Anolis sagrei: one gene and its partners. The protein of the gene in region 1 purifies or fractionates together with the protein of each later gene. This does not show direct contact. Links are inferred from orthologs where the notes say so. Each region holds a gene or a part of one and is shown in the gene's direction. Other genes may lie near its edges.

Region 1 (7,319 bases):
AGATGGGGGGAGGGGTTCCCTATTTGTCCGATTGGCTCTCAACCAAACCCATTTTTTGTCAAGATCTGTCTCAAAAGATTCTGAACACTGGTGATTTCTGCCTGTCTAGTGATTTCACCACCAGCAGCCTTTTTGTGACATGCTCTATAAAATGAAAGATCTAGCCTCTGGTGTTCAGGAAGAGATAGCGCTTGTATTCCTCAGGGATTGGGGCAACCGTCATAATCTTGTCATCTAACATAGACCAATCTGCCTTTCTGAAGTTGAATCGAACTTCCTGAGCTCTTACAGCTGGAAACAACTGGCATATGATCGGCCAATGCTGTGTGTTTAATGTTGGTGATCCCACTGATTGATGCACAATACTGTCGCTCACGAGCAGGTTTGGGTTATATCCTCAGTACCATCTCATACTGTTGTAGGATGATGGGAACTTATGATCATGAATAAGCAATAGTTTATGCAATTCAGCCCAGGAAAAAACAGCCTCTCCATTTTTATACTCCTGTGCATAGCCCCCTACAGCTATTAAAGTCACCAATTACTACCGCCCTTTGATGCCTATCAAAGTTCTCAGGAGAGGAGAAACAAAACTCTTCATTTGGGGGCTTATATAGAGAGGTAATTGTGATATTACTAAGCTCTACTGTTATAACCTCTCTATCAGGCATGGGCAAACTTAGGCCCTCCAGGTGTTTTGAACTTCAACTCCCATAATTCCTAACAGCCATAATTCCTGTCACTCCTTTCTACCTGCTACTAAGGAGGCTGTTCAGGTCCTGAACCGGTGCTTGGCCGCTGTTACGGTCCAAATGTCCAAATCTGTCACTGTTTTTGTAGAAGTCCAAAATGCCTGGAGGGCCAAAGTTTGCCCATACCTGCTCTACATTGTTTTCTCCAGTATTGTGGGCACTGCTGACTTTGAAGCTTAGTTTTACAAAGCCAGAACTTCCATACTGCACATGTGGTCTTTCCGCCACTAAGATCATTCCTGGAACTTTTGGTCATTTCTGTTGATTATCTCTGTGTGTTTCTTGGACACAAAAGAAATTTTGCAGCAAGAAAAAAAAATTACCAGCTGTTAGGATGTCTGGGAGTTGAAGGCCAAAACATCTGGGGACCCACAGGTTGAGAACCACTGATCTAACTGAGCCAAGATAAATGTGATGTTTCTTGGACACAAAACATCACATTTATCTTGGCTCAGTTCATAAAGCAACAGTTCATTGGTAGCTGACATGCTTTTGATGATAATTGAGATTATTGTCAAAGCTGGTCCTGAAAAGGTTTGCTTGTTTGTATACACCAGCCATTGTATACACAGTGTCATCTGTACGTGGATGATGTCCAACTCTGTCACTCCTTTTTACCTGCTACTAAGGAGGCTGTTCAGGTCCTGAACCAGTGCTTGGCCGCTGTTACGGTCCAAATGTCCAAATCTGTCACTCCTTCTCACCTGTCACCAAGGAGGCTGTCCAGACCTTGAACCGGTGCTTGGCCGCTGTGTCGGACTGGATGAGAGCTAATAAATTGAAACTGAATCCAGACAAGACAGAGGTACAACTGGTCAGTCACAAGGCCGAACAAGGCATAGGGTTACAGTCTGTGTTAGATGGGGTAACACTCCCCCTGAAGATGCAGGTTCGCAGCTTGGGAGTGATCCTGGACTCATTGCTGAGCCTGGAACCCCAGGTCTCAGCGGTGGCCGGGAGAGCCTCTGCACAATTAAAACTTGTGCCCCAGCTGCACCCGTACGTGGAGAAGTCTGATCTGGCCATAGTGGTCCACGTTCTTGTTACATCCCGAATAGATTACTGCAACGCACTCTATGTGGGGTTGCCTTTGAAGACTGTTCGGAAACTTCAGTTAGTCCAGCGGGCGGCAACCAGATTACTCACCAGAGCGTCATACAGAGAGCATACCACCCCTCTGCTATGTCAGCTCCACTGGCTGCCGATCCAGTTCCGAGCACAATTCAGAGTGCTGGTTTTGACCTACAAAACCCTATACGGCTCCGGTCTGGCGTACCTGTCCGAACGCATTTCCCTCTACGTCCCACCTCAGAATCTGAGATCATCTGGGGAGGCCCTGCTCTCGACCCCACCTCTATCACAAGTGAGGCTGGTGGGGACAAGGAGCAAGGCCTTCTCGGTCGTGGCCCCTCACCTGTGGAATTCGCTCCCGGGTGAGATCAGACCAGCAACATCCCTCCTCTCCTTTAGAAGGAAATTAAAAACGTGGTTATGGGACCAGGCCTTCGGGCAACCCGGCAGCTAAGGACAATGGACTACTAGAATTAACAGGACTGACAATGTGGAATTGAAACTATGGACTCTGAGACAGCGAACGCTGAATGCTAAACTGGTTTATTGACGTGTTGTAGAACTGAGAACCGACCGTTTAATTGTTTTTAACTTTAATTGCTGCTATACTGTTTTTATTGTTGTATTGTTTTGTATTGATGCCGGCATCGAATTGTGCCTTTGTAAGCCGCTCTGAGTCCCCCCCGGGGTGAGAAGGGCGGGGTAGAAGTGTCTGAAATAAAAAATAAATAAAACACCGGCTCTATATAGGCATTTAGCCTTGTGGGGGGTAAGTTCTTTCCAGTTAATTATTTTTTGAGTGGAGAACATAAATTGGACTGTTAGGTGTCTCGTGTCCAAATTTGGTGTCAATTCCCCCAGTGGTTTCTGAGTTCTGTGAATAGCACAAACGAACATTACATTTTTATTTATATAGATTATCAGATAGATAGATAGAAGATTGTTATTATTATTATTATTTGCCATTGAACGTTTGCCTTTTTATGTGTTGTAAGCCACCCTCTGGGGAGATAGGCAGAGAAGAACTAAAGTTTTAATTCATTTACTCCACAAGGATGATAAAAACATCAAATCATCCGGGTGTCTCCTGGGCAACGTCCTTGCAGAGGGCCAATTCTCTTGCACCAGAAGCGACTTGCAGTCACTCCTGACACATGCGCCTTTCACCTTAAGAACAGACAAGCATCCCAAGCTCTGAGGATTACCTGGGAAGGAATCCCACTGGAGCATTGCAACACACCCAAATACCTGGGAGTCACTCTGGACCGTGCTCTGACCTACAAGAAGCACTGCGTGAACATCAAACAAAAAGTAGAAACATTCGAAAGCTGACTGGCACAACCTGGGGATCACAACCAGACACAGTGAAGACATCTGTCCTTGCACTATGCTACTCTGCTGCTGAGTATGCATGCCCAGTGTGGAACACATCTCACCACACTAAAACAGTAGATGTGGCTTTTAATGAGACATGCTGCATTATCACAGGGTGTCTGCGCCCCACACCACTGGAGAAATTACACTGCTTAGCCGGTATTGCACCACCTGACATCCGCCGGGAAGTAGCAGCCAATAGTGAAAGGACCAAGGCAGAGACATCTCCAGCTCATCCCCTGTTTGGGTATCAGCCAGCACATCAACAACTTAAATCAAGACATAGTTTTCTTAGATCTACAGAGACACTCGCTGGAACACCCCAGCAAGCGAGAGTCCAAAAGAGGCAGGCCCAAACCCAGCACCTCAATCCGTGGGTGATACGAGATGAAAGACTCCCCCCTGGGCACTCAGAAGACTGGGCGACTTGGAAGGCGCTGAACAGACAGCGCTCTGGCACCATGAGATGCAGAGCCAACCTTCAGAAATGGGGCTACAAAGTGGAATCCTCGACATGCGAGTGCGGAGAAGAGCAAACCACAGACCACCTGCTACAATGCAACCTGAGCCCTGCCACATGCACAATGGAGGACCTTCTTACACCAGAAGCACTCCAAGTGGCCAGATACTAGTCAAAGGACATTTAACCAAATACCAAATTTGCAAAATCTGTGTTTTTTTTTCCTTTTTTTAAAATCTCTGTGTTTGTTTTGCTCTGTTAGAATTGTAATACAATGGTTCTTGATGACACGATAAATAAATAAACTCCTGACACGACAAACAAACAAACAAACTCATTCATTCATACTGCAAGTTGCTTCTAGTGTGAGAGAATCAGCCAGGCCACTTGCCCTGCGAGGCCCTCCCCCTGTCACCGTGGGGCGGGGCGTGGGCAGGGAAGGCGGCTTGCAATGGCGCGTCCTCGCTCTCCAGGGGCTTCAGGGCCGGCCTGGCCTCCCCATTAGAAGGGCCGAGAGGGAGAGACACGGAAGGGAGCGGCTTCCAAGGGCCTCTTTGAGGCGAGTGGCGCTGTCGGCCTGCTCCTCCACCCTTCCCTCCCTCCACAAGAGCAGCACTTCCGGGGTGAGAGAGGGCGGGACACCCCGGCTAGCTCTTCCTCTCCAGGCCGCAACATAACCATAGAGATAAGTAAACAAGCCGAGCGGAGCGGAGCTGAGGAACGTCACGCGCGCACCGGAAGCTGCGCCAAATGGCCGGCCCGGTGGCGCGTGCGCGCTGGGAGCGTGCGCAGCCGGCTTCGCCTGGCGAGGAGAGAGGGGCGCCTTTGCGCGCCGGGGCGGCGGCGGCGGAGGAGGAGGAGGGCCTTGGCGTCGTGGGCCTGGCCGTGGGGCCGGCCGCAAGCGCAGGTGACGGGGCTGGCAAGGCCGCGGCGGAAAGAGGCCTGGGCGTGGGTGTGGGCTGTGGGGCGGAATGGCGGCGGGAGGCCCGGGAGTTGGGGGCGGGGCAGCAAGGCCACGCCAGGCCACCAGGCAGCTGCTCCTCACCGTCCCGCCCACCCACCCACCTACCTACCCACCACCCGCTTTCAGGGCAAAATCTTCATCACTCAACTGTCATCCACCGGAGATGCCAGGCTCTGGGCCTCTTAGGGCACTTCCAGACAGGCCCTATATCCCAGGATCTGATCCCAGGTTTTCTGTTTATCCCAGATTATTTGGTAGTGCGGACTCAAATAGTCGAATTTAAAGCAGAAATCCTGGGATCAGATCCCGGGAGATTGGGCCTGTCTGGAAGGGCCCTGAGAGGCCATTCCACACAGCCATATAATCCAGAATATCAAGGCAGAAAACTCAATGTATTGTCAAAGGCTTTCATGGCCGGAATCACTGGGTTGTTGTAGGTTTTTTCGGGCTATATGGCCATGTTTTCGGGCTATATGGCCAACATACATTATATAGGCTGGGATCTTTAGTATTATTATAATTACTTATACAAATGAAATTATATAGTTCCCCCTCGAATGGATCCATGCTCTAGTGCAGTGTTTCTCAACCTGGGGGTCGGGACCCCTGGGTGGGTCGTGAGGGGGTTTCAGAGGGGTCGCCAAAGACCATGAGAAAACACATATTTCTCATGGTCTTAGGAACCCTTTTGGTAGAGAAGGCTGAAGATCTCTCCGCCTGTCCTCATCCTTTTTGGTGTTGGTGAATGAAAACTCCCAGAATTCAAAAACAGCCCCCCCCCCCCAATCCCACCAGTAGTTAATGTTGGCCATGTCAGTAGTGTGCCAAGTTTGGTGCAGATCCATTTTGGGCTGGGTTCAGAGTGCTATTTGATTGTAGGTTAACTATAAATCCCAGCAACTACAACTCCCAAATGTCAAGGTCTATTTTCCACAAACTCCACCAGTGTTTGCATTTGGGCATATTGTGTATTCGTGCCAAGTTCGGTCCAGATCCATCATTGCTTGAGTCCACCGTGCTCTCTGGATGTAGGTGAACTACAACTCCAAAACTCAAGATCAACGCCCAACAAATCCTTCCAGTACTTTCTCTTGGTCTTGGGAGTTCTGTGTGTCAAATTTGGCTCGATTCCTTTGTTGGTGGAGTTCAGAATGCTTTTTGATTATAGGTTAGCAACTACAACTCCCAAATGACAAAATGAATCCCCTCCAACCCCACCAGTATTCAAATTTGGTCATATGGGGTATTTGTGCCAAATTTGGTCCAGTGAATGAAAATACATCCTGCATATCAAATATTTACATTACAATTCGTAACAGTAGCAAAATTACAGTTACGAAGTACTAACAGAAATAATGTTATGGTTGGGGGTCACCAACACATGAGGAACTGTATTAAGGGGTCGCGGCATTAGGAAGGTTGAGAACCACTGGTCTAGAGGCATTCTCTCCTGACGTTTCGCCTGCATCTATGGCAAGCATCCTCAGAGGTAGTGAGGTCTGTTGGAGTTAGGAAAAAGGGTTTATATACCTGTTGAATGACCAGGACTCTTGTCTGCTGGAGCTAGGTGTGAATGTTTCAACTGATCACCTTGATTAGCATATGATGGCCTGGCAGTGCCTGGAGCCAACTTTTGTTGAGAGGTGATGAGATGTCCTTGTTTGTTTCCTCCCTGTTGTTGTGCTATCAGGCCATTATATGCTGTAAATGAATAAATAAATTAATAACTCTCACACATCTCTTTTGACAGGCCTACCCAGTCAACTTTAAACAATGAGTTTTGCATTTTCATTCTGTTACTGCTGTATTTTGATCTTTGTACCATGTGTTTTACTGTGAATATTTTATAATGGTGTGTTTTGATATAGCTGTTTTATTTATTATTTATTTATTTGCTTTGCTTATATACTGCTGTTCTCAGCCCAGGGGCGACTCACAGCGGTGTACAACATAAGAGGAACAAAATTCAAAACACAGTATCAAAACAATTCACACTTCAGCATTATACAAAAACATCATCATTACTACAGAAACCATTCCACGTCGTCTCATCGTCCAAATCATAAACCAGTATCATTTTCCGTTGTTCCATTCCTATAGTCATTACCAATCATTGCACTTCTTGTTCGAACGCCTTCTTGAACAACCAAGTCTTTAATTTCCTGCGGAATATCATCAGGGAAGGAGCCAGTCTGATGTCCACGGGAAGGGTGTTCCACAGCCAAGGAGCCACCACCGAGAAGGCCCTATCTCTCGTCCCCGCCAGCCATGCTTGTGAAGCAGGCGGGATCGAGAGCAGGGCCTCCCTGGAAGATCTCAAAGTCCTGGTGGGCTCGTAGGTCGAGATGCGGTCGGATAGGTATCTTGGGCCGGAACCGTTTAAGGCTTTATAGGCCAACGCTTGTTTTGTTGCATGCATTTTATGTGGATGTGTTTTGACTGTGCCCACCTCAAGCTGTTAGGAGAAGCAAGTAACAAATACAAATTATTATTATTATTATTATTATTATTAGTGCTATAATTAGTATTCTTATTAATAGTGTTTACCATTTTCCTACCATTGTCAGAGACACTTCAGGCAAAAGTCGCAAGTGGAGATTTACACATTTTAGGGCATTAGAGGCATTTGGTTAACAAGAAATTATGCTGCAGTAATTAATGTGATGAACCCTCAATCATAATTGCTGTTGCTTCAGAG
Region 2 (7,401 bases), on another chromosome or scaffold:
GATCAGTACAACCAGAGATATGTCGGTATACCATCGGAAGATGGGACTCCCAGGTTGGAAGATAGTCAAAATTCTACTGGTGAGGAACAGAGGATAAATTCAACTAGCCCCAGTTGTGATGATGCAGGTAGCTCAAAGCTGAAAGGAAGTCTAGGGGCCGACGGTGCTGGAGGTGAACAACAAATCCGATGTTCTACAGATCAGCACACTCTAGGAATCTGGAATGTAAGATCTATGAGCCATGGCAAACTGGATATTGTTATTGGTGAGATGTCAAGACTAAAGATAGACATTCTGGGGGTCAGTGAACTGAAATGGATTGAAATAGGCCACTCCATAACAGATGACCACCAGATTTACTACGATGGACATGAGGAACACTGAAGAAATGGAGTAACCCTCATAATAATAATTTATCTATATATAAATGCTCTGTGCATAATGAGTACCTTAAAAACAAAAGAACCAATGAACAAAATCACACCAAATTTGGCAACAAAACGTCTCACTACACAAGGAGTGACCATCACACTCAAAAAATTATGATTTTGTCATTTGGGAGTTGTAGTTGCTGGGATTTATAGTTCACCTACAACCAAAGAGCATTCTGAATTCCACCAATGATGGAATTGAGCCAAACTCGGGACACAGAACTCCCATGACCAACAGAAAATATTGAAAGGGTTTGTTGGGCATTGACCTTGAGTTTGTGTTGCAATCCAGAGCAGGGAACGAGGCCCTAAGATTACTATCCACCACACTTGGCTGTGAAAAACAATCCTTTTTTATTGAAGAAAAATGGTTACAAAATAAAGGAAAAATGCAAGTCAAAAGCCACAGCAAAATCAGCAAACATTAATTTAAATGGACAAAGCAAAACCAAAAGCCTCACTGGGATATACTGGAACCTGTTAGCAATCCACTAACCGTACTTGATATCCTAGAATCTTCCCAAACTATGGCCAGGGAACCGGGAGAACTGCCAAGGTCTTAATCAATTCTGAAACGAAGCCTGAACTGAGACAATCAGCCCGGCGTGCAATTAAAACTCAAGAATTCGTTCCGTGAACCGCCCTTCTTTTTTGAAGCCAATGTTTTTAATTCTTGAATTAGGGAGGATCGACGCAAACTGAGTGATTTACTTCTGTCTTCCCAAATTTGGCCCCTTCTGTTGTCATTACAGTTAGCAGGTGAAGAAGGGAGGGAAATTTCAAGGTCTCCCTCTGAAACGTTCTCATGAACACTGGTACTTTCATTTTCCAAATCTACAGAAGTTCCTTCCTCACTAATTTCAGGAACATTGGCATTTTCCAAACCTACAGCAGTTTCTTCCTCACTAATTTCAGGAGCATTGGCATCAAAAGGTACATTTCCACTAGCATCAGTAAATATACTTTCATTAGCATCAGGAGGAACAAACAGAGAATCAGGTTCAAGTTCAAACTCAGGCTGAACCCCAACAGTTTGGGAGTTGTAGTTCACCTACATCCAGACAGCACTGTGGACTCAAACAATGATGGATCTGGACCAAACTTGGCACAAGCACTCAGTACGCCCAAATATGAACACAGATGGAGTTTGGGGAAAATAGACCTTGACATTTGGGAGTTGTAGTCACTGGGATTCACAGTTCACCTACAATCAAAGAGCATTCTGAACCCCACGAGCAACTGAATCGGGGCAAACTTCTCACACAAAACCCTCATGACCAACGGAAAATACTTAAGACCATCCAATCCAACTCCCTTCATCAGGGCAAGAAAACTTAATCAAAGTCCTCCTGACAAAGAGCCATCCAGCCATAGACAATTCCAGAGGTTATCCAGAAGAGATAAGGAACTATTTTGAAACAAGCAATGCATGGAAGTGGAAGAAGACAATAGAGTAGGACGTCCAAGAAACCTCTTCCAGAAAATTAGAAACATCGGAGGTAAATTTCAGGTAAAAATGGGCATGATCAAAAACAAAGATGGCAAGGATTTAACAGAAGCTGAAGAGATCAAGAGAAGGTGGCGAGACTATACAGAACATCTGTACAGGAAGGATAATAATATCGATGACAGCTTTGATGGTGTGGTGAGTGAATTAGAACCAGATATCCTGAGGAGTGAGGTTGAATGGGCCTTAAGAAGCATTGCTAATAACAAGGCAGCAGGAGACAACAGGGATTCACAGTTCACCTACAATCAAAGAGAATTCTGAACATCACGAATGACAGAATCAGGGCAAACTTCCCACACGGAACCAATAGAAAATGGCCAATAGAAAATACTTAAGGCTATCCAGTCCAACTCCCTTCACCAGGGCAAGAAAACGTAATAAAATACTGTTTACCCACAAGCAGAAAGAAATGACATATATTAGAAACCAACACTTTCTCATTACTTTATTTATATACTTTATATACTTTATAATCATTACTCATTATACAGGGTTAGTCAAAATGAATAGGCCAATAAGAAAATTAATTGTAGCCGAATGTATGTTTACTGTAACCAAACCACAGCTACGTAGCGACAGATAAACTATCAAAGTTTTTTTGAGCAACACACATGTACGTTAATGCCGCTAGGCGTCGCTAGGAGTCGCTGTTTTCAAAATGGCGGAATCAGGCAAAGAGAAGGCGTTTTGTGTGATGACATTTGCTAAAACAATGTCAGTAATTACGGTCCAGCGAGAATTTCGAGCCAAGTATGGCAAGGAACCACCTCATCGACATTCCATTGCGAGGTGGGTAAAGCAATTTGAGGAGACGGGCTGCTTATGCAAGGGTAAAACCACAGGACGACCGCGTGTCTCCGAAGACACAGTGGAATCCATTCGTGCATCCTTTCAACGAAGTCCCCAGAAGTCGACAAATCGTGTTGCCATGGAATTGAACGTTCCGCAAAAAACTGTGTGGCGCGTGTTACGCAAACGTTTGCAGTTCAAGCCGTATAAATTGCAAATGGTGCAGGCTTTGAAAAAAGGTGACTATTCGAAACGACACGATTTTTGCGAATCAATGCAGCGAAGACTAGAGGAGGAAGGCTTTGCCAACAGACTGGTCTTCAGTGACGAGGCAACGTTTCACCTGTGCGGGAAGGTCAATAGGCATAATCTCCGCTTTTGGGGATCTGAAAATCCTCATGCCGTATTGGAACATGTAAGGGATTCGCCGAAGGTAAACGTTTTCTGTGCAATAACCAACCGTCACGTGTTTGGCCCATTCTTTTTCGCGGAGAAAACCGTAACAGGCATAGTGTACGCTGACATGTTGTCTGAATGGTTGATGCCACAGTTAGAAGAGAAAGTGCCCGATTTCGTATTCCAACAGGACGGTGCCCCTCCGCATTGGCACAACAGTGTATGCGAGTACCTCAACGAACACCTTCCCAGACGTTGGATTGGCCGTGCTGGAGTGACTGATCTTCCATTCCTCCTGTGGCCCCCCAGGTCCCCCGACCTCACACCATGCGACTTTTCTTTCTGGGGGTATGTGAAAGACACTGTGTTCCGACCTCCATTACCGCTGACCTTGGACGACTTAAAACAGCGCATATGTGCTGCATTCGATGCCATTACGTCAGATGTGCTGCAACGGATGTGGAATGAACTGGACTATCGCTTGGACGTCTGCCGTGTCACACGGGGCGCCCATATCGAACATCTCTGAAGGTGAGACAAAACTTTGATAATTTATCTGTCGATACGTAGCTGTAGTTTGGTTACAATAAACATACATTCGTCTAAAATTAATTTTCTTATTGGCCTATTCATTTTGACTAACCCTGTATTGTCGAAGGCTTTCGCGGCCGGAATCACTGGGTTGTTGTAGGTTTTTTCGGGCTATATGGCCATGGTCTAGAGGCATTCTCTCCTGACGTTTTGCCTGCATCTATGGCGTCCTCAGAGGTAGTGAGAAAGTAACTTTCTTATTACTTTATTTTCCAGATCACCAGACTGGGCCACAGCTACGCATGGCAGGGGACGGCTAGTGTGCAATATTCCAGGATCTGATCCCAGATTATCTGTTTATCCCAGATTTTCTGGCGGTGTAGACTCACTTAATCCAATTCAAAGCAGATATTCTGGGATCAGGTCGTGGGATCTCAATTTTGGAATAATCCCACTCTCTTCATCTCTATTCTCAAAAGCGCCCTTCGCCAAAGCGTGGCTGCAATTTCGCTAAATTTGTATTTATTTGCTTTTTTCCCCTCACAAGATCATGTCTTTCTTTAAATAAATACACAAAAAAAGTCCTGTTAGTAGTTTGTATTGAATCTCGACTCGAGAACCCGACGTCAAGGTCGGACACTATGAAGATGTAACCCTTAGGGTTTTTTTTTTTATGTCCCCGCCCACTTCCACCCTCAGCAGCTTTCCCAGAAGGCCCCGCGAGAAGCATTTCCGGCGAGGCGCCATTTCCGCTCTCGTGCGCCTGTTTCTTTGCGCGCGTGCTTCGTACCTGGCAGTCGGGGGCTCGCGCGCCCGGCTCTCTCTTGGTTGTTCCTGGGGAGCTCCGTCTTCGGGCCGGCGCCGCCATGCTGGTTCTCTTCGAGACGGCGGCCGGGTACGCCATTTTCAAGGTGAGCGCCGCGCTTCCTCCGCCATGTGCTCCCTCGGCCGGGTAGAATTGGCTGGGCAATCCAGCTTTAGAGGCGTCTGAGGGGAGGGAAGGCCTTTACATCCGGGAAGGGCTTTCCCTTCCCGCCTCAGTACTAATTTGAAATAACTTCAGCTTTCCTTGGGAGTAGTATTGTTGTATAATATGTCCAGAGTCAGTACAGTTGGTCCTCCATATTCACGGATTCAACCTTTTGAAAACATTCCCAAATCAAACCTGGAGGTTTGCCCTTTAATCTCAGGGACACACCATTTTGCGACCCCATTGTATGTAATGGGGCCTGAGCATCCACGGATTTTGGTGTCCAAAGGGAGTAATAGAGTTGGCCTTCTAGTTCAACCCCCTTCTGCCATGCAGGAAAAGCACAATCAAACTACCCCGACAGATGGCCATCCAATCTTTCACCACATTCCGAGGCAGAGAGTTCCACTGCTCTTACAGGCCTCCTTCCACACAGCTGTATAAAATCCACATTGAGCTGGGGTATATGGCAGTACGGACTCAGATAATATGGTTTGCTTTAAACTGGATTGTGGATTATCTGCCTTTATATTCTGGGGCTCCTTCCACACAGCTGTACAAAATCCACATTGAGTTGGAGTATATGGCAGTATGGACTCAGATAATACACAAACGCAGCGCCCAAACACGAATCAAGGAACATGAAAGGCACTGCAGACTGCTTCAACCAGAGAAGTCAGCCTGAGCAGAGCACCTGATGAACCAACCTGGACACAGCATATTATTTGAGAACACAGAAATGCTGGACTACTCTCACAACCACCATGTCAGACTACACAGAGAAGCCATTGAAATACACAAGCATGTGGACAATTTCAACAGAAAGGAGGAAACCATGAAAATGAACAAAATCTGACTACCAGTATTAAAAAACTCTAAAATTACAACAGCAAAACAACAGAGAGGAAACAAACAAGGACATCTAATCACCCCTCAACAAAAGTTTGCTCCAGGCACAGTCAGCCCATTGTATGGTAATCAAGGTGCTCAGTTGAAACATTCACACCTAGCTCCAGCAGTCAAGAGTCCTTTGTCTCACCCTGGTTATTCCACAGATATATAAACCCTTTTTCCTAGTTCCAACAGAACTCACTACCTCTGAGGATGCTTGCCATAGATGCAGGTGAAACGTCAAGAGAGAATGCCTCTAGACTATCGCCATACAGCCCGAAAAAACCTACAACAACTCAGATAATACGGTTTGCTTTAAACTGGATTGTGGATTATCTGCTTTGCTGTTCCAGGGCTCCTTCCACACAGCTGTATAAAATCCACATTGAACTGGGTTATACGGCAGTGTTAAGTCAGATAACCCCAGTTCAAAGCAGATACTGTAGATTATCAACCATGATATTCCGGGTTATATGGCTGTGTGGAAGGACCCACAGACAGAATGTTCTGGAACCAAAGACCCAACACATACTAAGGGCACACTGTACAGCAGGCCTCCTCAAATATCAGCCCTCCACCCCTCAGAAGTCCTATCCAGCTTGTTCAGTGGTGAGGGATTCTGGAAGTTGGTGGCCCAAATGGGTGGAGGGCTACCATTTGAGGAAGTCTGCAGTACATTATACTGTCTTAATTCAAGCTAGCAGTCTCCTCAGGCAAGTACATGTATCTTCTCTATTGTAAGACAGAAACTGAAACAAACTAACTTTATATAAATTCATTAAATTTAAATCTCAGGACTTCATTGCATTGAGCCATGGCAGTTAAAGTGGGGTCAAGTTACATTAATTCTGCAGTGTAGATTCACCCTGTGAAACCCATGGTTCAAATTTCTACTCTGCCCTGAATTCTACAGCTCATTTTAGAGAACCATATATATATGGTTCAAATGGTACCCATGGTTCAAATTTCTACTCTGCCCTGAATTCTACAGCTCATTTTAGAGAACCATATATATATGGTTCAAATGGTACCCATGGTTCAAATTTCTACTCTGCCCTGAATTCTACAGCTCATTTTAGAGAACCATATATATATGGTTCTCTAAAATGAGCTGTAGAATTCAGGGCAGAGTAGAAATTTGAACCATGGGTTTCACAGGGTGAATCTACACTGCAGAATTAATGTAACTTGACCCCACTTTAACTGCCATGGCTCAATGCAATGAAGTCCTGAGATTTTAAGTTTAATGAATGCCTAACACTCCTTGGCAGAGGAGGCTTGCTAAACTACAACTCCCAGGATTCCGCCAAGGCTGTTTAACTGGGGTGAAACTTTATTATATCCTCCATCTTAATCACTAGGGCTCCTTCCACACTGCCCTATATCCCAGGATCTGGTCCCAGATTATTTGCTTGTCCCAAATTATCTGGCAGTGGAGACTCATGCAGTAATCCAGATTAAATTGGGTGATCTGGAATCAGGACCTTGAATATAGGGCAATATAGAAGGAGCCATTCAGATAAGGGATTATATGGCAGTGAAGATGGGGCCTCATGGTTTGTATCATCACTAGCCTCTTCTACATTGCCATATAGTCCAGAATATCAGAGCAGATACTCCACATTACCTGCTTTGAACTGGATTATATGAGTATACTGCCATATAATCCAATTCAAAGCCAATAACCTGGATTTTATGTGACAGTGTAGAAGGTTGCATCAATTTCTGCCACCATACCTAGTTTTAGTTTTTCTTTGTGCTCGGAATGCTGTTTTGTATACAGTAGCTAGGTAAACAAAAATACAGATTTTGTGTATGGCAACCTACTTGATTGGGATTTTGCTAGTGATCCAACTGTGATGTAATGAGATTACTGCAAGATC
Region 3 (7,599 bases), about 68 Mb from region 1:
TTCGAACTGCTAGGTTGGCAGAAGCTAGGGCTGACAGCGGAAGCTCACGCCGCTCCCTGGAATCGAACCTGCGACCTTTCGATCAACAAGCTCAGCAGCTCAGTGCTTTAACCCACTGTGCCACTGATAATCCTTAAAAGGGAGTAACCTCCTTTATCTTATTGCTCGCAAATGGAAAGCAGAAGCATGCTACACTGTACTGAAGTGTCTTTGCAGAGCCGATGGTGCTATTAATGTAAGTAAGTATCTCTTTGTACTAATTTGTTTACATAAGAATTTTCAAAATATAACTGGGTGCCACTTAGCATATCTATTATTTTGTCCTCTCTAAATTTAGTAAAAACCACAGAAGTGACTATTACATTTGATTGAATGAAATAACCCCCAAGAAGCCTGATGAAGAGAATTTATTCTTTAAACAAGGACACAAAACACCCGGGGAACCTTGTTGTGTACTCCTAAGTTTGCTGAACACAACACAAATTGTTTCCAAGCTTGATAGTCAATGTGAACTATACTCCCAAGTTTGTGGAACACAACGTGAACATTGTTGAAAACATTATGGACGTATTGAAAGTGTATTCTCAAGTTTACTGAACACAACGTTAACTGTTTTCAAGTTCGATATATTCATTGATATATATGTCCTATGAAATTATTTTGTGAACCTTATATATTTTGTTTGTTTCACTAATGAAGTTTGTCCTGTATGTATTATGAAAGTTACTTAAACTTGTATCTGTACTGAAGCTCATTTCAATAGGACAATTACATATTTACGGCATACATTTCTAGGCAAGAAGAAAAACCGTATGCAAATATCCATCTGAAATTGCTGTGATTGCAAGGTTTAAATAATTTCTTACTAAAACTTGCAATGCCTCTGCTGATATCTATATAATTATGTAGCTAGCTTCCAGTTGTTGTGACATCAGGATTTATTCTGTGCAAAATTTATGCTTGGCCCTTTTATGCAGAAAACAGATGTTTTAAAAAACACAGGAATTATTTATGCATAGATATTTGGCATAAAACAATCTGCAGAATTTTATGCAGATTAAATTCCCAAAAATACTATTTCTATGCAGAAAATAAAACTTTTGCACAAAAATATTTCCTGTGCAGAAAATACTGTTCCTTGCTCAGAAAACAATGTTTCTCTCTCACACTCACACACTCACACACACTACGTGTATGTTTTGCATAGATTAAGGCCTGAGTTGTGAAGATTCTCCTTAATCTTGGATTTTCTTTGTCAGGATTCCCTGACATTTAAGAAACATATTTTGCAGGTATTTAATCACATATTTTTGAATATTCCTTCCATCCCTACTGCCTAAAAGCAGCCTTCAAAACAGCATACATATCAACTTAGTTATGAGAGTGTAATGTCTGCACTGAACAAAACCTAAAATTCTATGATGCTATGGATTTATTCCATATTCGTTGCCCATTAGGATCATGACTTGGGCATCTAGTGTAGAGCAAAAGGAAATGCTTCTGCTTTGTAGCAGGAAAGCTGTAATGCCCTATGCTACCTCTCAGACTTCATTGTCTCTTTGCAAGATGTCAGAGTCAGAACTTGTGAACAAAGTCTCTCTGAAGTTTCCGTGGGGTCACCTGAGTTCATAATCTCTGTGAGGCATCTTGTCAGTTTCAAAGGTTCAGTGCCTGGGCTGCTTTTGGCTTTCGAGGACTTCATTGTGTCAGTGAATGGTAGCCCACGGCAGCAGTGGTCACAAAAGTCTCTTAATTAAGTGAAAACAGAAGCTGCTCTTTAAGTTGATGTCCTTACTTGATCCACCTCTGGAGCAGTGGAAGTGCCAACTGCATCAGAAACTGCATAACTTACAGCCAGCTGGAATCTGCTTGATCTTAGGGACTAAATTAACCTTTTAGGAATAAGACTTGGTCTTAGGGTCATTGGAACTAGGCAAGTGGAACCATCTGAACTGGTTCAAGGGATATTGGGATATAGTGAAAAATATTTCTCAGTGAAATGGATAGACAGTATTAAAATGATGTAAATCTCAGCATAACTGAAGTGTATTTTGTTCAAAGATTTCTAGCAGGTTATGGAAATTATATGGACCTTATCCATTTCCTTTCTATTCCATTTCTGACTTTTAATACTTAGCAGTTATTGTGATAAGCAGCCATGATGGGGCTTGTGACAGTGGTGGAACCGAGAGGAGGGCCTCCCTGGCAGATCTTAGAGCCCACATTGGTTCATGGGGGTGGGCGGGGAGGATGCAATCACGAAAATAGGCAGGACCCGAGCTGTTTAGGGCTTTACAGGTAATAACCTGCACTTTGAATTGGGACTGAATATTTATAGCCAGCCAATGGAGCTGCTTTAGTAGGAGCATCATGTGCTCCCCGTACAAATTTTTGGACCAATTGCAGTTTCCGAGCTTGGTTTAACTTTCGGTTTGCTAGGAAAACTAAATTACCGTGTCAGGAAAGGATGCATGACTAAAAAAGCATGTCACCCAGGGGCGGCTCAACCCATTACGCAAAGTAAGCATTTGCAGTATAGTTGATTTTGCCCAGGGGCGCTCTTGAGGCGCTCTTGGTGGAAAATAGACCTTGACATATGCGAGTTGTAGTTACTGGGATGTATAATTCACCTACAATCAAAGAGCATTCTGAACTCCACCAATGATGGAATTGAACCAAATATGGCACACAGAACTCCCATGACGAACAGAAAATATATATCAGTGATTTGTTGGGGGGTGGGGGGGCAAAAAACTGTTTGCTTACCGTTGAAAATTACCTAGGGCTGCCTCTGAATTGTCACCAATATGAAAAACTTGGAAAGCTCTGCACAAATGTTTGGGTCCAGGGCCCCTGTGTATGCCAACATCCTTGAGAGCTCAAAACCCATTATATGCAATGGTGTCATAAAATGGTGTCCCTTATATAAAACAGCAAACAAGCAAGACTGGGAGAGAGAGTCTGAGGGCCATTTCATAGGAGGAAAGGTATACCTATACATCAAAATCATGTATTCCAATCACGAATTTCGATTTACATTCTATTGCTACTATAGGTCAATTCTATATCTGTTTGGTGCATGCTTTATATATATATATATATATATATTGGCACAAAAGTATTAAGAATGTATGAAGTCATCATCATATGTTTGCGTTATGTGTGTGTGTGTGTGTATTGTTCATATGTATTTAACTTTAATAATAATAAACTTTATTTGTATCTTGCCTCATCTCAGTGATTGTATGATAGCGGGGTCCCCCTGTTATGAGCGTTATGCAGATGCCGGAAAGGTGGTTGTGAATAAGGGGAGGAATCACATGGTCGAGAGAGAGGGTTGGAGTGAGAGTGGGGAGAGCAGGACACTGAGGGCGGGAAGATACTTTGAGGTTGCATTTAAAGGAAGGATAGAAAGGAGGGAAGGGTTAGGGTTGGGGTTACAGTTATGGTTTAGGGTTAGAGTTACAGTTAGGGTTGGGGCTAGGGTTTAGAGTTGGGGCTATGGTTAAGATTTTACTATTAAAGAACTCGTACATTCATTCTATATTATCTGTGTCCGGCCTGTCTTAGATTACCTCAGTCGCTCACTCCACCCTCCTGTCTCAGTCACGTGTTCCATTCTGCGCTGCACAAACAGCGCTCCAGAAGGAGCGAAGCGGAAACAGCAAAACGCTCATAGCAGGGGGACCCAGCTATCATACAATCACCCTCATCTCCCTGATGGGGACTCAGAGCGGTTAACAACATACAGCAGCAAACATTCAATGCCGTACGGTGCAACCAACAAATAATAAACTACCATAAATTAAATAATAACATATTAAACATCGACATCAGACAATTTTGTAATAATAATAATTTTATTTCTTACCCACCTCTCTTCATGGCTCGAGGAGGGTTACAGACTTTGATGTACCCCGCCTCGAACTATCAGGAGAAGCAGGTAAGAATAATAAGAATAATAAGAATAATAACAATAGATTTTGCTATGATTTTTATATTATCCTACTGTTTTTATTGTATTGAAATTGTATTTTATGGTCTTGGTACCAACTGTAAACTGTCATGAGTCGCCTGTGGGCTGAGAGGGACAGTATATAAATATAGTAAATAAAATAAATAATAATAATTTCTTTTGCAAATTGCCATTGAGTGCATCTACACTGTAGAATTAATGCAGTTTAGTATCACTTTTAACTGCCATGGCTCAATGCTATGAAATCATGAGAATCTGTTGTTTGCTGCCCATGAAAGCTGAAAACTACAACACCCATGTTTCCCTAATATTGCAGCTTGGTAGGTTAAGAGTAATATCAAACTGCATTAATTCTACTGTATAAAACACCAGGCATGGGCAAACTTGGGCTGTTAGGAATGGTGGGAGTTGAAGTCCAAAACACCTGGAGGGCCGAAGTTTGCCCGTGCCTGAGATACACTCTATTAGAATGAGGAAAGGGTGTTCACAGACGGGCGCCATTCAGGCAGCTCCGCAAAGCAGAACAGGAATGTTAAGCTTAAAGACTCCAACTCCCGGCGTGCCTCGCGTGGGGAGGTGCCACCCGCCGGGCCGGTTCCTCCCCGCGCAAAGCACCATGGGACTCGCAGTTTCTGTTGCGGCGCTTTGCGGAAGGGAAAAGCGCGCGCGGGGCTTGGCCGGCCTCCTTCCTTCTTTCCTTGGCTGGCTGGCTGGCTGACTGAGGGGCGGGAAGATGGCGCTGGAGGCCCGCGGGATGGAGCAGGACGTGGAGGACGGGGAGATTTCCGGCTCGGACTGCGAGATGCCGGTCTCGGCCGCCGCCCGGAGCCCCCAGCAGGTCAGGCCCAGAGGGGAGTTCCCTTTCCCTTCCTCTTCCTTTCACTGCCCTGAGGCTTGGAGGCCTGGGCGGGGAGGAAGAGGAGGAGGAGGATGCTGCTGCTGCTGCTGCAGGAGCCCAGCATTAATGCCCGCCTTCCATGCCGGCTTCAGGGGGGTTTGTCCCTTGTAATGGATGCTCGTCGCGTTCGAAGGCATCAAGCGTGCCCTCGAGGGATGATTTCTCTGAGGGCCCTCCCACACAGCCCTATATCCCAGAATATCAAGGCAGAAAATCCCACAATATCTGCTTTGAGCTGGGTTATCTGAGGCCCCTTCCAGATGGGCTGGGACTACTGGGATGTCATCTGAGGCCCCTTCCAACCTGCTGAATCAAATCCCATATTATCTTCTTTGAACTGGAATATATGGCAGTGTGGACTAGATAACCCAGCTCAAAGTAGATATTGTGGGGTTTTGCGCCTTGATGTTCTGGGTTATATGTCTGTGAGGAAAGGCCTTGAGTCCACATTGCCATATATTCCAGTTCATAGCAGATAATGTGGGATTTTATCCAGCTGTGTGGAAGGGGCCTGAAGGAAGCTTCTCTTCCCACACAGCTCTTAAAGGCCTTCCCTTGAGGCTCCCAGCCTGGGGGCCCTTCCACACAGCCCTATATCCCAGAATATCAAGGCAGAAAATAATAATAATGATCTTTATTTATACCCCACCACCATCTCCACAATGGGGACTCAGGGCGGCTAACATGAGGCCGAGCCCAAACATAATAAAACAAAATAATATACAAGACAATAGAAAATAAACACAGGAAACACATAATACAACAAAATAAAATAAACAATACAAAACGACATATTAAAAATCCCACAATATCCTCTTTGAACTGGGTTATCTGAGTCCACACTCAGATAATGTGGAATTTCCTGCCTTGCTATTCTGGGATGTAGGGTTGTGTGGAAGGGCCCTTGGTCCACACTCAAATAATATGGGATTTTCTGCCTTGATATTTTGGGATGTAGGGCTGTGTGGAAGGGAACTGGGACTCTTCTGCATTGTGGAATTAATGCAGTTCGACACCACTTTTAACTGCTATGGCTCAAGGCTGTGGAATCATGGGAGTTTCAATGTAATGAGGCACCAGCCTTTCTGGCAGAAAAGTAAAACTAGTTCCCATAGTATTGAGATATGTCAGTTACAGCAGAGTCAAACTGCAACAATTCTATAGTGTAGAATGCAACCCAGAAGTGTTTGGGATTTTTCCACGTTTGGATTACCATTTATTTGCATGTTGTTGTTGTATGTATTCTGCCCTGTCTTTCTGAGGGCAGAGTCCAACAACAAAGAGGCAAACATTCACGGCCTGAACCAACAATAAATGCAATACTAAACCACCCAAAATAAACCAACATACACCAAAATAAACCAAAGTATACCAAATTAAACCCGCATGTAAAATCAAATTAGAACTTAAATTGTAATAAAATAAAAATTTAATACTATTTAAAAATAAATCAATACAAGTTTCATGGATTTGTTTAATATTTTGTCATTAGGGATTTCTAGGTCCTTCAGCACAACTCTGGTCATCTTCTGGCAGAAGGGAACTATGGAAGAAAGTCATGTTGGAGACTGTAGACATGCCTTTTCTAGGCATTTAGATGTCATCCAGAACAATTCCACTGGAAAGAATCCTGCTGGAAGGCCTAAGGGGCATCTGCACTGTAAAATCATTGCAGTTTGTCACCACAGCCATGACTCAATGGTATGAAATCATGAGAGTTTGGTGGGACATCAGTATTCTTTGGCAAAGAAGGCTAAAAACTTGTAAAACCTACAATTCCCACCGTTCCATAGCATTAAGACATGGCAATTAAAGTAGTGTCAAACTGCATTAATTTTACAGTGTAGATTCACCCCTAGAGATTTTTAAAAGGTGTTCTTTTTGTCAGATTACAAAATATAAACTTTTATAAATCTTTTTATTCATGTCCCCCCCCCTCCCTTTCATGGGTGCCCTGTGCCCCTAACCTAGGTTTGACTGGGGGTACATAATGAGTTATCTTGGAAATGCGACCAGGATATCTAAACATGAAATTTCTTTATGTTTTATATACATCTTAGTCACATAACCTGAGGGGTCATATTATATACATTTTTTAAAAAAATTGTGCATTGAGACAAAGTTTGTGTACATTGAACTGCCTGAAAGCAAGGGTGCCATTATCTCAGCCACCCATGTGGGCGATTTTGGAGTATTTAGGAATTCTGGATAAAGGGTATTTAACCTGTACAGGCCTGTGCATAGTGACAGCTATCTTGTTAAGTCCAGAGTACAGATAACAGTGTCTAACCGTACATAGGTTTTATGTGAATTTATACAGGCAGTCCCAGAGTTACAAACATCTGACTTACAAACAACTCATAATTAAGAACGGGGTTGAGACAACAGAAAGTGAGAAAAATATACTCCTAAGGATGGAAATTATTTCCTGAAAGAGTTATCATAGGAAGAGGTGTCCTCACTGAAGCTTTAGCACTGATCTTTATTTGCACAACAAGCCACATTTTCCAAAATCCAATTATCACAGGGACAGAAAGTAAGGTGAAATCTCCTGAACAGGGCCAAATCTGCTGTCACTATCCCTATATGTGGCTATATAGTAATTTATTAATTACATTTAAATGCTGTCTTTCCTCCAATGATCTAAAAGCAGCAAAGATAGTCCTCTTTCTCACTTTCGCAACAATCCATTAATATATGATTGACAAAAAGAGAAAGTATGTAT
Region 4 (6,940 bases), on another chromosome or scaffold:
CAATCAAAGAGCACTCTGAACCCAGCCCAAACTTGGCACACTACCTACATGGCCAACACTGAATACTGCTGGGTTTGGGGGGGGGGGGCTGTTTTTGAATTCTGGGAGTTGTAGTTCACCAACACCAAAAATGAAGAGAAGGGCAGGTCTTCTCTACCAAAAGGGTTCCTAAGACCCCTTAGTTCACCTTCATAAGTGAGTTATATTAATTGTACTGTTTTCTTTGCTTGCTGTTTTGTTTTTACTGATGTGTTGTTGGGCTTGGCCTCATGTAAGCCACCCCGAGTCCCCTTGAGGAGATGGTGGTGGGGTATAAATAAAGTTATTATTATTATTATTATTATTATTATTATGCAATCAAAAAGCATTCGGAATCCCACCAATGATAGAATTGGGCCAAACTTCCCACACAGAACTCCCATGACCAACAGAAAATATTGTGTTTTCTGATGGTCTTTGGCAACCCCTCTGACACCCCCTTGTGACCCCCTCAGGGGTCCCGACCCCCAGGTTGAGAAACGCTAGCTTAGCCCTTCATCCAGTCCTTTCCTGTTTCTGTAACTTTAGTCCTCTTGATAACACTCTGACTATTTTGGACTGTAACTATCATAAAACACAGCCTATGATCAGGAATTTTGGGAGCTGAAGTCCAAAGGTTAGAATCAGGGCTGTAAAACCATAAGCCCCTGTGAAGATTTGTGGCCCTACAGCGCCACCTCCTCGAATTAAAACACATTACAAAAATAAAGGTACACTTCAGTGAAGTCAATGCACTTCTGGACACGATTCCTCTGACAGAAAACTTGGTACCGACTGAGCATCCTTTACTCAGAATCCCAAGATCCGAAATACTCCAAATTTGTCCGTGTGAGTAGCTAAGAGAGCGACTCCTTTGCTTTCTGATAGTTCAATAGACCCAAACATGGTTTCTTGTACAAATTTTTAAAAAAACTGTGTATAAAATGACCTATATTTTTAGATTACTATGTGAAACATTAAAGCGATTTGATGGTTAGATTTGGGTGGAAAGTCCATGGTGGGAGAAAGAATTCACACCTAGCTCCAACAGACAAGAGTTCTTTATCCCATCCTGGACTTTCCACAGATATATAAACCTAATTTTCCTAGTTTCCAACAGACATCACAACCTCTGAGGATGCCTGCCATAGATGTGGGGGAAACTTCAGGAGAGAGTGCTTCTAGAACAGGGGCCCTCAAACTTTTAAAACAGAGGGCCAGGTCACAGTCCTTCAAACTGTTGGAGGGCCAGATTATAATTTGCAACCCCCCTCCCCCCAAAAAAAACCATGAATGAATTGCTGTGCACACTGCACATATCTTGTTTGTAGGGGAAAAAAATACTTAAAACAATACAATAATTTAAATGAAGAACAATTTAAAAAATATAAACTTATTACTATTTCAATGGGAAGTGTGGGCCTGCTTTTGGCTGATGAGATGGGATTGTTGCTGTTGTTGTGTGCTTTCAAGTTGTTTCAGATTTAGACTGACCCTGAGCAAGGACCGGGTAAATGACCTTGAAGGGCTGTATCTGGCCCCCAGGCCTTAGTTTGAGGATCCCTGGTCTAGACCATGGCCATACAGCCCGAAAAAAGCTACAACAACCCACCGACTGAACAACTGAACAACACCACCCCAGCCATTCCACAGATATATAAACCCATGGTCCTAATTCCAACAGACCTCACTACCTCTGAGGATGCTTGCCATAGATGCAGGCGAAACGTCAGGAGAGAATGCCTCTAGAACATGGCCATATAGCCCGAAATAACCCACAAGAACCTAGATTGAACAACAAATTAGCATAGCACAGGAGACAAGGTGGAACTTAAGTAAGAATAGCCTTGCAGCTTCAAAGCCTGGCTGCTTCCTGCCTGAGGGGGGGTCCGTTGCTGGGAGGTGTTAGCTGGTCCTGGTTGTTTCAAGCAGCCAGGCTTTGATAAGGATATTGATAAGCTTCTCTGCTCACAAAAGAGGCTCAGGGAAGAAGACCAGATTTGATTTTATTTGTCGTGTCAGAGCAACCAGTCCATTATATTACATTTCTAACAGAACAAAGCAAACAAACAGAAAATTTCACACAACTTGTGAGTTTGGTAGCTGGTTAAATGTCCTTTGACCAGTATCTGGCCACTTGGAGTGCTTCCGGTGTTGCTGCAAGAAGGTCCTCCATGGTGCATGTGGCAGGGCTCAGGTTGCATTGCAGCAGGTGGTCAGTGGTTTGCTCTTCTCCGCACTCGCATGTCGAGGATTCTACTTTGTAGTCCCATTTCTGAAGGTTGGCTATGCATCTCGTGGTGCCAGAGCGCAGTCTGTGCAATGCCTTCCAAGTCGCCCAGTCCTCTGTGTGCCCAGGAGGGAGTCTCTCATTTGGTATTATTATTATTAACTTTTATTATTTGTACCCCACTAGCATCTCCCGAAGGACTCGATGTGGCTTACAAAGGCCAAGGCCTCAAAGCACAACACAACAATACAACACCTAAAGCAAATTAAAAACAAAGCAATATTAACGACATGCAATAAACAATACATCAAGACACTATGAAAACTGGGCCAGGATTAAAACTGGGGTACAGGATTAAATGGTATCAGCCATTGGTTGAGGTTCTGGGTTTGAGCCTGCCACTTTTGGACTGTCGTTTGCTGAGGTGTTCCGGCATGCAATAAATAAGCTGGAACATTATTTTAGACTACTGCAACGCTTAGACTACTGCAACGCTCTCTACGTGGGGTTGCCTTTGAAGATGGCCCGGAAGCTCCAATTAGTCCAACGCTCGGCAGCCATGATACTAACTGGAGCGGAGCGCAGGGAGCATACAACTCCTCTGCTGCACCAGCTCCACTGGCTGCTGATCTGCTACCGGGCTCAATTCAAAGTGCTGGCGTTGGCCTTTAAAGCCCTAAACGGTTCTGGCCCAACTTACCTATCCGAACGTATCTCGGCCTATCAGCCCACCAGGACCCTAAGATCTTCGGGGGGGGGGGGGCTGCTCTCTATCCCGCCTGCTTCACAGGTGCGGCTGGCGGGGACGAGAGACAGGGCCTTTTCTGTGGTGGCCCCACGGCTATGGAACGCCCTCCCCATGGAGGTAAGATCAGCCCCCTCATTGATGGTATTCCGGAAAAGACTAAAAACCTGGATGTTCGAGCAGGCGTTCGGTTAACTCAGTGCAATAAGTGTAATGATTGAAGGACTGGCAATTTGGACGACGACACTGGATCGCGATTTTAGTCAAGAGATGAATTGGATTGTTTATAGATATATGTACTGTGGATTGGAGCCCCCGGTGGCGCAGTGGGTTAAAGCACTGAGCTGCTGAGCTTGTTGATCGAAAGGTCGCAGGTTCGATTCCGGGGAGCGGTGTGAGCTTCCGTTGTCAGCCCTAGCTTCTGCCAACCTAGCAGTTCGAAAACATGCAAATGTGAGTAGATCAATAGGTACCGCTCCATCGGGAAGGTAACAGCGCTCCATGCAGTCATGCTGGCCACATGACCTTGGAGGTGTCTACGGACAACGCTGGCTCTTCGGCTTAGAAATGGAGATGAGCATCACACCCCAGAGTCAGACATGACTGGACTTAATGTCAGGGGACTACCTTTACTACTGTGGATTGTGTTTTTATGCTTTTAAACTGTATACTGTTGTTTGTTATAAGTTGTTGTAAACCGCGTTGAGTCGCCGACTGGGCTGAGAAACGGCGGTATATAAGTATAGCAAATAAATAAATAATAAATAAACATCTTCTCTGCTCACAAAAGAGGCTCAGGGAAGAAGTGCAGATGGAGGAGGCGCTTGCTTGACGAGCAGGCTGAGTGTCCAATGGCGCGGAGCCGGGGGCGGGGCGCTACCTCCTCCAATGGGGTCTTCCCTAGGCGGGCTGTCCTCCCTCCCCCTCCCTCTGGTGGGCGGGGCTTCTGGCAGGGGGCCCCATGCGTGGTGTCATGGAGGCTCAGTCCGCGAGCGGCCATTGAAGGGAGCGGAGCTGCGCGTTCGGCACAAACAGCGGGAGGAGGAGGAGGAGGAAGAAGGAGCCGCCGCCTCGAGGGCCATTTTCCTTTCCTAAACTCCTCGTTATTCTTTCCAGCCCGAAAGAGAACTCCTGCTTGTTATAATCCGGATTATTTTTGCCCTCCGGACTTCGGAGGCCTAGCCTAAAGAAGGGGGAGACCAAGAAGAAGGAGAAGAGGAGCAGGATGGAGATGAAGAAGCGCATCAATTTGGAGTTGAGGAACCGCGCGCCGGAGAAGGTGAGCCTTGGCCTCCCTCCCTGTCTCGCTTTCGACTCGCATTCGCCATGGCAGACGCCCCTGCCTTCCTTCCTGCCTTCCGTCCTTCGACGCCAAGCCCTCCTAAATATGTCTGGATATGCGAATGTGCGCATTTGTGTTGTTTTGTTTGCGTTTCTCTCCTCTTTCGGGGGCCTTCTTTCCGTGTCCCCCCCCCCCCCCAAATAGTGTTTTCATGGCCTGAATCACTGGTTTTGCTGTGAGTTTTCCGGGCTGTGTGGCCATATTCTAGCAGCATTCTCTCCTGACGTTTCGCCCACATCCATGCCAGGCATTCTCAGAGGTTGTGAGGTTGCAGGTCTAAAAATTCACATTAATCCATTATTATTATTATTATTATTATTATTATTATTATTATTATTGGATTGTGATACAATTGTGATTATTATTATTATTATTATTAGGTTGCTTTGATATAATTGTTGTTGTTCTTATTATTGGGTTGCTGTGAGTGCTGTCTGGCCACGATGTAGCAGCACTCTCTCCTGACGTTTCGCCCAAAATTCACAGCAACCCATTATTATTGTTATCGTTATTATTATTGTTATTATTATTATTATTATGTTGCTTTGATATAACTTTGATTATTATTATCATTATTATTAGTATTGGGTTGTGATATAATTGTGATTATTATTATTATTATTATTGGGTTGGTGTGAGTTTGGCCATGTTCCAGCAGCACTCTCTCCTGACGTTTCGCCCACATCGATGGCAGGCACCCTCAGAGGTTGTGAGGTTTCCAGGTCTCAAAATTCACACCAATCCATTATCATTATTATTATTATTGGGTTGCTTTGATATAATTTTGATTATTATTATTATTATCATTATTATTGTTATTGGATTGTGATATAATTGTGATTATTATTATCATTATTATTATTATTGGGTTGCTGTGAGTTTTCAGGTCTGTCTGGCCTCGTCCCAGCAGCATTCTCTACTGACGTTTCTCCCCCATCTATGGCAGGTTGTGAGGTCTGTTGGAAACTAGGAAAATTGGGTTTATATGTCTGTGGAATGAATGATGCCCAGGGTGGGAGAAAGAACTCTTGTCTGCTTGAGGCATGTGTGAAGGTTGCAACTGTCCACCTTGATTAACACTGAATGGCCTTGCAGCATCAAAGCCTGGCTGCTTCCTGCCTGGGGAAATCCTTTGTTGGGAAGTAGGTGGGTGGGAGAAAAAACTCTTGTCTGCTTGAGGCACATGTGAATGTTGCAACTAGCCACCTTGATTGGCACTGAATGGCCTTGCAGCTTCAAAGCCTGGCTGCTTCCTGCCTGGGTGAATCCATTATTATTATCATTATTATGATTATTATTAGTGTCTTGTTGAAGGCTTTCATGACCGGAATCACTGGGTTGCTGTGAGTTTTCAGGTCTGTCTGGCCATGTTCCAGCAGCATTCTTTCCTGACGTTTCTCCCCCATCTATGGCAGGCATCCTCAAAGATTGGGAGGTTTCCAGTTCTGAAAATTCACAGCAACCCATTATGATGATGATGATGATGATTATTATTATTATTGGGTTGCTGCGGGTTTTCGGGTCTGTCCGGCTACGTCCCAGCAGCATTCTCTCCTGACGTTTCGCCCACATCCATGGCAGGCATCCTCAGAGGTTGAAGGGGGTCTGTTGGAAACTAGGCAAGCGTGGCAAAGCCTTGCAGCTTCAAAGCCTGGCTGGTTCCTGCCTGGGGGGAATCCTTTGTTGGGAGGTGCTTATGTGGCCACTTTCCAGCAGCATTCTCTCCTGACGTTTCGCCCACATCCATGGCAGGCCTCCTCAGAGGTTGAAGGGGGTCTGTTGGAAACTAGGCAAGCGTGGCGAAGCCTTGCAGCTTCAAGACTTGGCTGATTCCTGCCTGGGGGGAGAAATCCTTTGTTGGGAGGTGCTTATGTTTTGGAAGAGATTGAGAGACGGATGGAGAGAGAGAAAGGCTTCCTTTGGCTCCCATCTTCTAGATTTGTTGTTGTTGTTGTTGTTTACTGCCTCCAAAGTCCAAAATATTTGCCTCTTTAACCCTCTCGGGCAGGCGTGGGCCAACTTTGGCCCTCCAGGTGTTTTGGACTCCAACTCCCACAATTCCTAACAGCCTACCGGCCTCCAAAGTCCAAAATATTTGCCTCTTTAATCCTCTAGGGCAGGCATGGGCCAACTTTGGCCCTCCAGGTGTTTTGGACTCCAACTCCCACAATTCCTAACAGCCGGTAGGCTGTTAGGAATTGTGGGAGTTGGAGTCCAAAACACCCGGAGGGCCAAAGTTGGCCCATGCCTGCCCTAGAGAGTCTCCTTCGCGTCTCAATGATTGGAATTATTTAATCCGAGCTCAAAAGTGCGCCTTCAACGACAACGTTCCCGTTGTCACTTTTTTTTGGTCCAATTTCGGCACATTCTCCGCGACCTACGACGACCATCATCCACAATCCTACGCTGTTTAGGGGTGTCTTTTTAATCTGACTTTTCCTGGCTTGTTTGGATTTTGGGCAATCAATCTATATATAAATAAAAATTTAATGTTTGTTTGTGGCATTAACATAACTCCAAAACCACTGGGCGAATCGACACCAAATTCGGACACAAGACACCGATCAGGCCGACGTGTCACCATCTCTCAGAAAAACACAGCAAA

What was found.
Region 2: the proteins of KPNA1 (region 1) and NOP58 purify together in Homo sapiens (affinity purification with mass spectrometry; 3 studies listed by BioGRID and IntAct, with this or other methods). This does not show direct contact. The link is inferred for Anolis sagrei from reciprocal best matches to the Homo sapiens genes KPNA1 and NOP58.
Region 3: the proteins of KPNA1 (region 1) and PHAX purify together in Homo sapiens (co-immunoprecipitation; 4 studies listed by BioGRID and IntAct, with this or other methods). This does not show direct contact. The link is inferred for Anolis sagrei from reciprocal best matches to the Homo sapiens genes KPNA1 and PHAX.
Region 4: the proteins of KPNA1 (region 1) and ANP32E purify together in Homo sapiens (affinity purification with mass spectrometry; 4 studies listed by BioGRID and IntAct, with this or other methods). This does not show direct contact. The link is inferred for Anolis sagrei from reciprocal best matches to the Homo sapiens genes KPNA1 and ANP32E.

What each region holds. Positions count from the first base shown.
Region 1 is NC_090022.1:170,434,134-170,441,452, reverse strand, and holds the start of KPNA1 (importin subunit alpha-5), read left to right. Parts: upstream 1-4,314; 5' UTR 4,315-4,407; coding exon 4,408-4,564; intron 4,565-7,319. UniProt on the Homo sapiens protein: Functions in nuclear protein import as an adapter protein for nuclear receptor KPNB1. Binds specifically and directly to substrates containing either a simple or bipartite NLS motif.
Region 2 is NC_090021.1:165,264,621-165,272,021, forward strand, and holds the start of NOP58 (nucleolar protein 58), read left to right. Parts: upstream 1-4,376; 5' UTR 4,377-4,523; coding exon 4,524-4,568; intron 4,569-7,401. UniProt on the Homo sapiens protein: Required for the biogenesis of box C/D snoRNAs such as U3, U8 and U14 snoRNAs. Part of the small subunit (SSU) processome, first precursor of the small eukaryotic ribosomal subunit.
Region 3 is NC_090022.1:237,947,793-237,955,391, reverse strand, and holds the start of PHAX (phosphorylated adapter RNA export protein), read left to right. Parts: upstream 1-4,597; 5' UTR 4,598-4,709; coding exon 4,710-4,814; intron 4,815-7,599. UniProt on the Homo sapiens protein: A phosphoprotein adapter involved in the XPO1-mediated U snRNA export from the nucleus.
Region 4 is NC_090032.1:5,806,593-5,813,532, reverse strand, and holds the start of ANP32E (acidic leucine-rich nuclear phosphoprotein 32 family member E), read left to right. Parts: upstream 1-3,936; 5' UTR 3,937-4,218; coding exon 4,219-4,272; intron 4,273-6,940. UniProt on the Homo sapiens protein: Histone chaperone that specifically mediates the genome-wide removal of histone H2A.Z/H2AZ1 from the nucleosome: removes H2A.Z/H2AZ1 from its normal sites of deposition, especially from enhancer and insulator regions.